Linked DNA regions of Coturnix japonica. The protein of the gene in region 2 purifies or fractionates together with the protein of the main gene of each other region. This does not show direct contact. Links are inferred from orthologs where the notes say so. Each region holds a gene or a part of one and is shown on either strand. Other genes may lie near its edges.

Region 1 (4,242 bases), on a different chromosome or scaffold from region 2:
TCCACCCCCCTCTATAGATATTAAGTGCCCAACCTCTCGCTCCACAACTACAATAGGCCTATTTTTAGGATATGAACTCTCGTATCAAGTGGACATCCTAAATTATCCTAGAAGTTGGCTGCCCTACTGGAGTTAAAATTACCTTCACTTATGAAGCTGAATAGAGCTCTCTTGAATTCCTAGCTATCTGCTTTCACTTTCTAACACATAGGACAGCATTATGATTGGCCTAAAACTCAGGATTTGGCAAACTGCATTGAAAACAATAACTCACGCTCACTGAAACCACTCAAATCAGTTGCTATGTGCACATACAGTGTACACATACCACTACATACCCAAAAGGAAGGCTTATATTTTTCTGTTAATGATGGAAGAGAAACAGCTAGGGGAAAAAATAATTACATTGTGACAGCAATTAAAATACTTCAGCAGGTCCCACTGAGAGGCCGCCATCCCCAAAGCAGCTGAGATACATTTTCTCATACCTCGCACCTAAATGTCATCTTGTAACAGACAAACACACAGAATGCCAAAGCCAGGAACAGAAGCCCTGACCCTCAGCTCTAAAAAAATCCACCCTCACCTACTGGAGCAGAAAGCACAGGACAATACTTGTGTGCTTTTCAGGCTGCAAAGTCAACTGAATGTGCTTAATTGCTCATACTGCACACACATGCACATCTACAGGCTATGCCCTAAAAGAAAACCTACAGTTTCAACACTAGACATAAAGAAGCGAATAAAATTGAAATAGCAATCTACTTTTGACCTATGAAACAACAAAAGTATGATGCAAGTCCATTTAAACAAATGATTTTGATGCAACGTGCTCTGTTGGGTTTTTTTTGGGTTTTTTTTTTTTTTTGGGACACTGTAGCAAGTTATACAACAGCTGACATTTGGTTTTCTGCTTTCACAACAGGATTAGTGTTTTATAAGATACAGATTTTACCAGCCAAAGTTTGGGGAGTCTCGGGGTAATGATTACATTTGAGTGCCAGCCTTTGAGGCAAGCGCTTTCCCTTGCACAAGGAGTCTCATTGAGTCATAAGTTACTTAAGTAGCTGTCTTCACAAGGCAAAGCTGTCTTGCTACACACTCTGCATACACATCCCACCAAAGGATTCATTTACATGGCTCGATGTTACACATAAAATGCAAATTATGCAAATTAGATTTTAGATTACAGGCATTTTATCTGATAAGGGCCATTTTTGCTCTTCCCCCCCCCCCCCATCTCAGTTCATGACATCAGCAAGACAAGAAAGCTCCTTTTAAGATAACAATGTGCAAGTCATGCTCTCAACTGCTGAGAGTATAAGAACTATGAGACCTTGGGGTCAGCTGTCATCCCAAAGTAAGAAAACAGACACTGATCTCAAATTCTTAATCCAAAAAAGACTGGAGGTTCACTTTCACTCTTTGTACCAGACTTAATTCCCAGCTGTAGGAAGTTACAGAGCACCTGAGAAGGCACAACAACACTAGTGTACTAACCTCAGAACACGATATAGTTGGGAAATGTTTCATCTAGGCCTAAGCTTAGAGCTTAAGCCCGCAGAACAACTCTGTCAAGTTCAGCTGAGGAGCAAAACACCTCTCATGTTCGGTACAGGCTTATTTTTAAACCAGTGCCACTGTTTCCTTCCCTGCCTGTGACCACACATGCTCCAAGGCACAGAACGGGCCAGAAAGAAATCTTTGGACTAAGAGGCATCAGACAAGTTGCACAACACACAATGAATTCAAACTTCAAAGAGCAGGTGGGAAACCACAAATTAGAGCCTCCTGACGTTCCTTGTGATTCACACAGTGGCAGCTCACGGCAGGTTAAAATCAGTGCCCTAAAGCTTAAACTGCTAACGGTCACGGCAATGACAGGACGTGGGGTAATTCTAACACAACGCCACACAGTTTGTAAGGATTTACGTGCCACTTTTAGCTCAGGTGCCTCATGTAGACCTTTATCTTCATAACAGCAGCTCACTTCAGCTGTGTTCGTATGTACAACTTCAACGAGGCAAACGAAAGCAGGAGGAGCTCCCCGATGGGGGCAGGGGGGGGTCACAAAGCAGGGCTGAGCTGCTTCCAAGGAGGCTAAACTGTCACATAGCGAAAGCACGTGAGTCATTTTGAAACCACCGACGTAGCTCTATCTAAGAATGACTCCTGGCAAACAGAATGAGTTCAGTATGTACGCACCGAACAGATCTGAATGTGCAATGGAGAACCCCTATTTATCAACAAGACCATTAAAAGGAAAAGGGCAGAAATGAGAATTCCACGAGAGGCTTTAGGACTCTGTGAGGACACAGCTCGTCATTGCTGGCACAAACACGCCAAATTACGGAAATACGTTTACCAGTGAAGTCAGGACACTGCTCACACAGCGCTGAGCCACGGCACAACTCACAGAGATAACGCCTTGCACCGCCCGCTCGGAAAGGCGAGAGGTCAGGCAGGTGACAAGCAGGGAGCACACAACCAAACAAAGGCGGTTTCGGACAAAATAACCGGCTAAGAAAATCCCGTTCCGATCCGCAGCGCTCGCACGGTTCCGTTGCCCAGCTTTGTCCCTCCGCCCCAGGCCGCCCGCGCCCCCCGCGGCCCCGCGCCGAGCACTCACGTGGAGAGTTTCCTGGTCCAGAACAGCCCCCCGGGCCACAGCTCCTGCAGCTGCACGGCCCGCGCCAGGTTGCCTTTGATCTGCGCGAGGAAGCGGGCCGCCTCGGCCTCCAGGCGCTCTCCGTAGGGCAGTAGTTTGTTGTAGACGATTTCCTTCTGCGGCGGCGGTAGCGCCATGGCCGGCCCCGCGCTGCCCGCCCGCCCGCTCGCCCCCACCCCCCTCCGGGCTCCGGCAGCACCGCGCCGTGCGGAACCCACTGCGAGCCAGCAAACGGCCAACGACCGCCCGCCCCGCCCCGCTCGCTTCCGGCGGAAGGCGGGGGCTGAGGGCGGTTCCCGCTCGGCGGAGCGCTTCCTCCGGTCGGGGCCGGGGCCCGTTAGCGCCCCGCGGCTGCGGTGTGGGGTGCCGCCATTTCGCGACAGCCGCCCCGTGACGGGCTGCGGGCTCCGGGCAGCGCCCGCAACTTGTGCGTGCCGGGCGTAGCGGCTGTGCAGCGGCGCTGGGGAAAGGCCCTCGCTCCCACTCGAGTTCAGAATTCACTGTGTGTGGTTTTGCGGTTCATTACAGAGCTCTGCTGTAAAGCAGCAGGGATCCCCACAGACGAGGCATAACGCCGTTCTTCCACCGCCCGCAACGACTGACCTGAACGTCAGTCACAGGAACGCTGAATTGGGGATGTTGGAAAGACTTCTTAAGGTCACCCAGTCCGACCCCAGCCCACCCCACCGTGCCCACTGCCCACGTCCCTCAGTGCCACATCCCCACGGCTCTGGGACACCTCCATGGACGGTGACCCCACCACTCCTGTGCAGCTGTGCCACTGCATCACCGCTCTGTGGAGAAGGAATTGTTCTAACAGCCAACATGAACCTCCCCTGGCACAACGTGAGGCCATCCCCTCTTTTCCTTGCCCCAAAGACCTGATGTGAAACCGGGTATGGAGTTTGTGATGGGACTAATTAGTCACGGGGTCTGATAGCAGATTGTGTGGCTGCCTAAGAAGCTTATAGCAAATAATAACGCTTGTCAGTGAGACAGAGCTTGGCAGTGCCTGGTCCTGCCGTTGGCCTCTGTGGGTGCTGGATAAAGCTGCGATGAATGTGTGATAACAAGCAGTGCTGATAGCTGTTATCTCCAGCTGTCTCCTAAATATAATTGTTAATTGAATTTCCCCTCAAGAATTACATCGGGACCATTGAACAGCTGCAAGCTCATTAGATATAAAGCAACTGACAAGGGCAAATCCTATTTTCTGGTCTTTACATTCAAACTAGCCCTGTTAATAAAAGAAGAAACAGTTAACTAAACGCTGAAAAATACCACAAAGAGAAGAAATGCAACCAAACATCTGTGTGCAATAAAGCCGTGATGCTCAGGTGTTCTCATAGCGTTTTCCTGGGGAGCGCATTTGTACCATATTGTCACTACGTGGGCCAGGAGCTGGGTGTGATGATCCTTATGACTCCCTTCCTACTCAAGATGTTCCATGTTTCTCTGATCCTACACACATTTTGTACCACCCGCTGGATTTATAGCCACTCCAGTGCAGCAGGAAATGATCCAGCATGTGACCCATGCACCAGTTTGAACACTACCTCTACTTACAGCCATCA
Region 2 (4,315 bases):
TATTTTCATCAGAACAAAGCTCCATCCAGCAGCTCTGCCAAGCACTTCTGTCTTAACAACACTGTATGTGCCAGATGGTTCTGTGGCTCGACTCTTTAAACGCACAGAGTGCATCTGTGCCAGTTTTTGTCTCTTCTGCTCCAGCAGCTTCTATAGCACCAGCTGCAGAATCCAGCTGTGTGACTGCAGCTTTGGCAGGGCCTCCATGCAACAGCATCCCTGTCACACTGCAGGAAGTCACCATTGATTTGAAGCGATTTGGAGACAAAGGGTTTAGGATAATCTATACGGGAAGAATGGAGGAAAACCATTCAGGTTTTATGTAGGTATTGATAGGCTTATAATAGTCTTATTGTTCAATGGAACAGGTTGCCCAAGGAGGCTGTGGATCCCCATCCCTGCAGGATTCAAGGCCAGGCTGGATGTGGCTCTGGGCAGCCTGAGCTGCTGGTTGGTGACCCTGCACACAGCAGGGGGTTGGAACCAGATGGTCATTGTGCTCCTTTTCAACCCAGGCCATTCTGTGATTCTATGATGAAATAATCCTTCAGACTCTACTTTTACTTGTCGGTATTCAGCACAGATTTTAACTCATGGCCTGTTTTGTTCTGTTCCCGCAGAAGTTCCATCACCCATCAGTAGCAAGTCTGCATCGAGCTCAGTTCATCTGGAACCTGGCTAACGTCCCCCTGCTGGATCAGTACGTGGGCGCCTTGGGCCAGAACCAGCACCGGGCTGTTGTGGAATGGGTCATCCAGCAGTTCAGGGAGGAAGTCACGCCCAAGATAAGCAGCTTTCGAGCTTGTGAGTGTTTTATTCTCAATCACGTCACAGTTTGTTCCAGGAGATCGGGGTCGCAGCCAAGGAAACACCTTAGTTATTAGTTATTAAGTACCGTTTGTCGCTCCCGTGTAGGTATCAACCACGGGGACCTCAACGACCACAACATCCTGGTGGTTCCCTGCTCTCCGCACGGGGCGACCCCGCGGTACCGCGTGTCGGGCGTGCTGGACTTCAGCGACATGAGCTACGGCTGTTACGTGTTCGAGTTGGCCATCGCCATCATGTACATGATGATCGAGAGCTCCGAGCCGCTCCGTGTGGGCGGCCACATCCTGGCGGGCTTCGAGAGCGTGCAGCCGCTGTCGGCCGCGGAGCGGGCCGCGCTCTTCATGCTCGTGTGCGGCCGCTTCGCGCAGTCGCTCGTCATGGCGGCACACACGGCGCTGCTGTACCCGGAGAACGCCGAGTACCTGATGGTCACGGCCAGGACGGGCTGGAAGCACCTGACGGACATGTGTGCGCGGGGCCGGGAGGCGGTGGAGAAGGTGTGGTTCGATACGGCCGCGCTGTACGCGACGAGAGGTACCGCCCCGTGAGGCGGGGCTGCAATAAACATGGCGGCGCTGCCATAAACATGGCGGAGCCGCGCTCCTTCCGCACAGCGGCGCCATTGGGACCGCGAGGTCACGTGGGGGTGACGCACTGCGCAGGCGCGGCCGCCATTTCCGACGCGCGGTGCCGGTGCCGAGGTTGTGCAGCGCCCGGTGTAACCGCCCGTTGTTCCTCAGCGCCGCTTCGGCACAGCGCGATACCGGCCGCTGTGAGTGAGGGGGGGGAGGGAGCGGGAGGGCGGGTGAGAGCAGGGGCCGAGGGGCGGGCGGTGCGGCCTTGGTGCCCCCTTCGGCTGTGTGAGGATGACTCCGCACTCCGGGCCCGGGGCGCTCGGTGCTGCAGGCGGGGATGGGGCGGGTCGCTCTGTGCTCGGGGCCGTGTGGGATCACCCGGCTCACCTTAACGCGCTGTGCTGTTTTGCAGGCCCGCTCCGCGCCGCTCCGGCACCATGGTGAGTGTGTGTGTGTGAGTGTGTGCGAGGGCCGCGGGTGGGGGGGCGGTACCGACATTGCACCTCAGCACGGGGCTGTTGTGGGGCCGCCTCGGAGCTGCTCCTGTTGGGTGCGGTGTTGGGGAGGACGGTGACGGGCCTTAACGAGCTGTTGCTTCTTGCAGTCTCGAAGATATGACTCCAGAACCACCATATTTTCTCCGGAAGGTACTTTGTAACCCTACGCTTCTAATTAAACCGTCTGCCTGCCGTTCCTCCTCTCAGACGTAACACGTAAATCCCAGGGCCGGTTGGTTGCTGGCAGTGTGTGTCCATCCCCGTGTGAGTTGCACAGACCGTATTCACCTGTCAGAATAGCCCTGTGTGCACACCACAGCCACACAGCGAAGGCTTCCCAGTCCTCATCTAATCCAGGCATCGGTGTGATCACACCCCATTCACACCTGTGGATTTGCACCACATTCCACTGCTCAAAGAGTTCCTTAATAAGTCACTGCCCTTCACCTTTCCTTGGAGCATGGATGGATTTTGTTACTGTTCTGTTACTGTTAGTGCTGCTGTGATTTGTTACAAGTCATGTTTTTTGTCTTAAGAGACAACCTGTCCAGTATCAATGATTCCATTGTTTTTTTTAAAGCCCATTTTGACTTTCTTCCAAAGTACATCTACTCTTTAAACTGTAATTCTTCTCTGCACTAATTACACCCATGATTACCTTATCAAGATAGGGCACTTTTCTGTTTCTGCACTTGTTTCTAAAAACTCATTTGCTGGCCCCAGCCCAAGGAACGAGTCCTAAACTGTAAAATGGGCATCTGTGTAACTCCTGCAAATTCACCTTTCCTTATATATGGTCTCATTCAGTGCTGCCTTATCAGTGTTGTGATGTAACTCGTTTCCTAGGCCGCTTGTACCAGGTGGAATATGCCATGGAGGCAATAGGGCACGCAGGTACTTGCTTGGGCATCCTGGCCAACGACGGCGTCCTGCTGGCTGCAGAGAGGCGCAACATTCATAAGCTGCTCGATGAAGTTTTCTTCTCAGAAAAAATCTACAAACTGAACGAGTAAGTTGCAGTGATGTCTGTCTGGCTGCTGGTGCTACCTGTGCCTAAGTACTGTTGTTACTCAAGCATTTTAGCACTGAACCTGGATTTGTTTTGTTTGGAGGGTTTGTATGAGTTTTATGCCGTGTTCCAGGCATCCAGGGCTGTTGTATTGTTATTTGCTTCAGTGATTTTTCTGAAGAAGCATCATGTTTTTATTTCCGAAGAGAACTTCTTATATGCAATAACCTGTTGGTACTTACCCATACCGGGTAATGATATTACATCAATATTAAATTGGCAGTTCTTGGTTTACAGAATAACAAGAGGAAGGAAATAGAGAATGCACAAATCCAAGCACTGTATCAGCTCAGCATTCCCTTTTAAGTCTCTTTTTTTCTGTTGTGATTCAGAGACTGAAACAAATTGGATAAAACCTGCTTTGGCTTATTTTGCTGCAGCTGTAGCAGAGATGCTTATCTCACTGCTCTGAGCTTCTTAGCTTCTCCAGAAGTTCAGTGTTACTCTGTCTTGCCTGTAGGGGAGGTGGAGCTTCAGCCTTGCTGTAAGGTGCATTGTGAAACACGAGCAGTAGGTTTTCATCTGTCAGTCTCCCATGCTGTGTTATCCTGAAGGCAGCTGGAGCTGGATTTTCAAGGAGGTGATGTAAGAAGTGCACTGGAGTAGCTGCCCAGGCCAGCTGTTCTGAGGAACTGCTAAGATAACAACTGCCAGTTATGGTCTGTGTACTGAAAGCTCTGTGGCAATATGAGGTTTGGCAAAGATCTGCTAAATTAAGAGCTAATAAAACAATTACAACAAAGATGAATTTTCAGCTAAAGCAGTTACTTTTCTAATGGCTGGTATCACTAAATTATGTTCATATGAATGCAGTCAGCAGATTGCACTGAGGGTCCATATGGGTTCTGATATGGTCAGCGCCTGGCCTCTATGTGGGTCCTGCTGTGTAGCCAGTGCCTCTTGTGAGTGTCAGCACTGTTAATCATTTTGGTATGGTCCTCAGCTGCATGCCAACGATGTGCTGACCTGCTTATTTCCCACTATCTGCCTCTGCTCTTGCAATATGGTTGTGTCAGACTTAGATTGTACTCTAGAAGCAGGATCAGTCTGTTCTACCCAGCAGCTGTGCAGTTTTGATGATAGAAGCCCAGCAGTAGGCATTCTGTTTGAAGTGCTGTATGAAGATGTGACTGTTTCTTGGAGACTGGTAGGAATCCGTATGTTCCTTTTGCAGGGATATGGCTTGCAGCGTTGCAGGAATAACTTCAGATGCCAACGTTCTAACAAATGAGCTGAGACTGATTGCACAGAGGTAGGTTGGCTGGTAGTTATGGGGGTTTGCTTAATTCTGAGTTGGATTCAGTCTATGTATTAAATCAGTACACACTCAGAACAAGTAGATT

The links.
Region 1: the proteins of PSMA4 (region 2) and PSME4 purify together in Homo sapiens (affinity purification with mass spectrometry; 4 studies listed by BioGRID and IntAct, with this or other methods). This does not show direct contact. The link is inferred for Coturnix japonica from reciprocal best matches to the Homo sapiens genes PSMA4 and PSME4.

Annotation. Positions count from the first base shown.
Region 1 is NC_029518.1:4,768,855-4,773,096, forward strand, and holds the start of PSME4 (proteasome activator complex subunit 4), read right to left. Parts: upstream 2,854-4,242; 5' UTR 2,806-2,853; coding exon 2,630-2,805; intron 1-2,629. UniProt on the Homo sapiens protein: Associated component of the proteasome that specifically recognizes acetylated histones and promotes ATP- and ubiquitin-independent degradation of core histones during spermatogenesis and DNA damage response.
Region 2 is NC_029525.1:2,859,657-2,863,971, reverse strand, and holds the start of PSMA4 (proteasome subunit alpha type-4), read left to right. Parts: upstream 1-1,485; 5' UTR 1,486-1,603; intron 1,604-1,818; 5' UTR 1,819-1,843; coding exon 1,844-1,846; intron 1,847-2,010; coding exon 2,011-2,053; intron 2,054-2,075; exon of another isoform or gene 2,076-2,167; intron 2,168-2,749; coding exon 2,750-2,912; intron 2,913-4,146; coding exon 4,147-4,224; intron 4,225-4,315. Other genes in the region: HYKK (hydroxylysine kinase), read left to right, coding at 621-804, 916-1,379. UniProt on the Homo sapiens protein: Component of the 20S core proteasome complex involved in the proteolytic degradation of most intracellular proteins. This complex plays numerous essential roles within the cell by associating with different regulatory particles.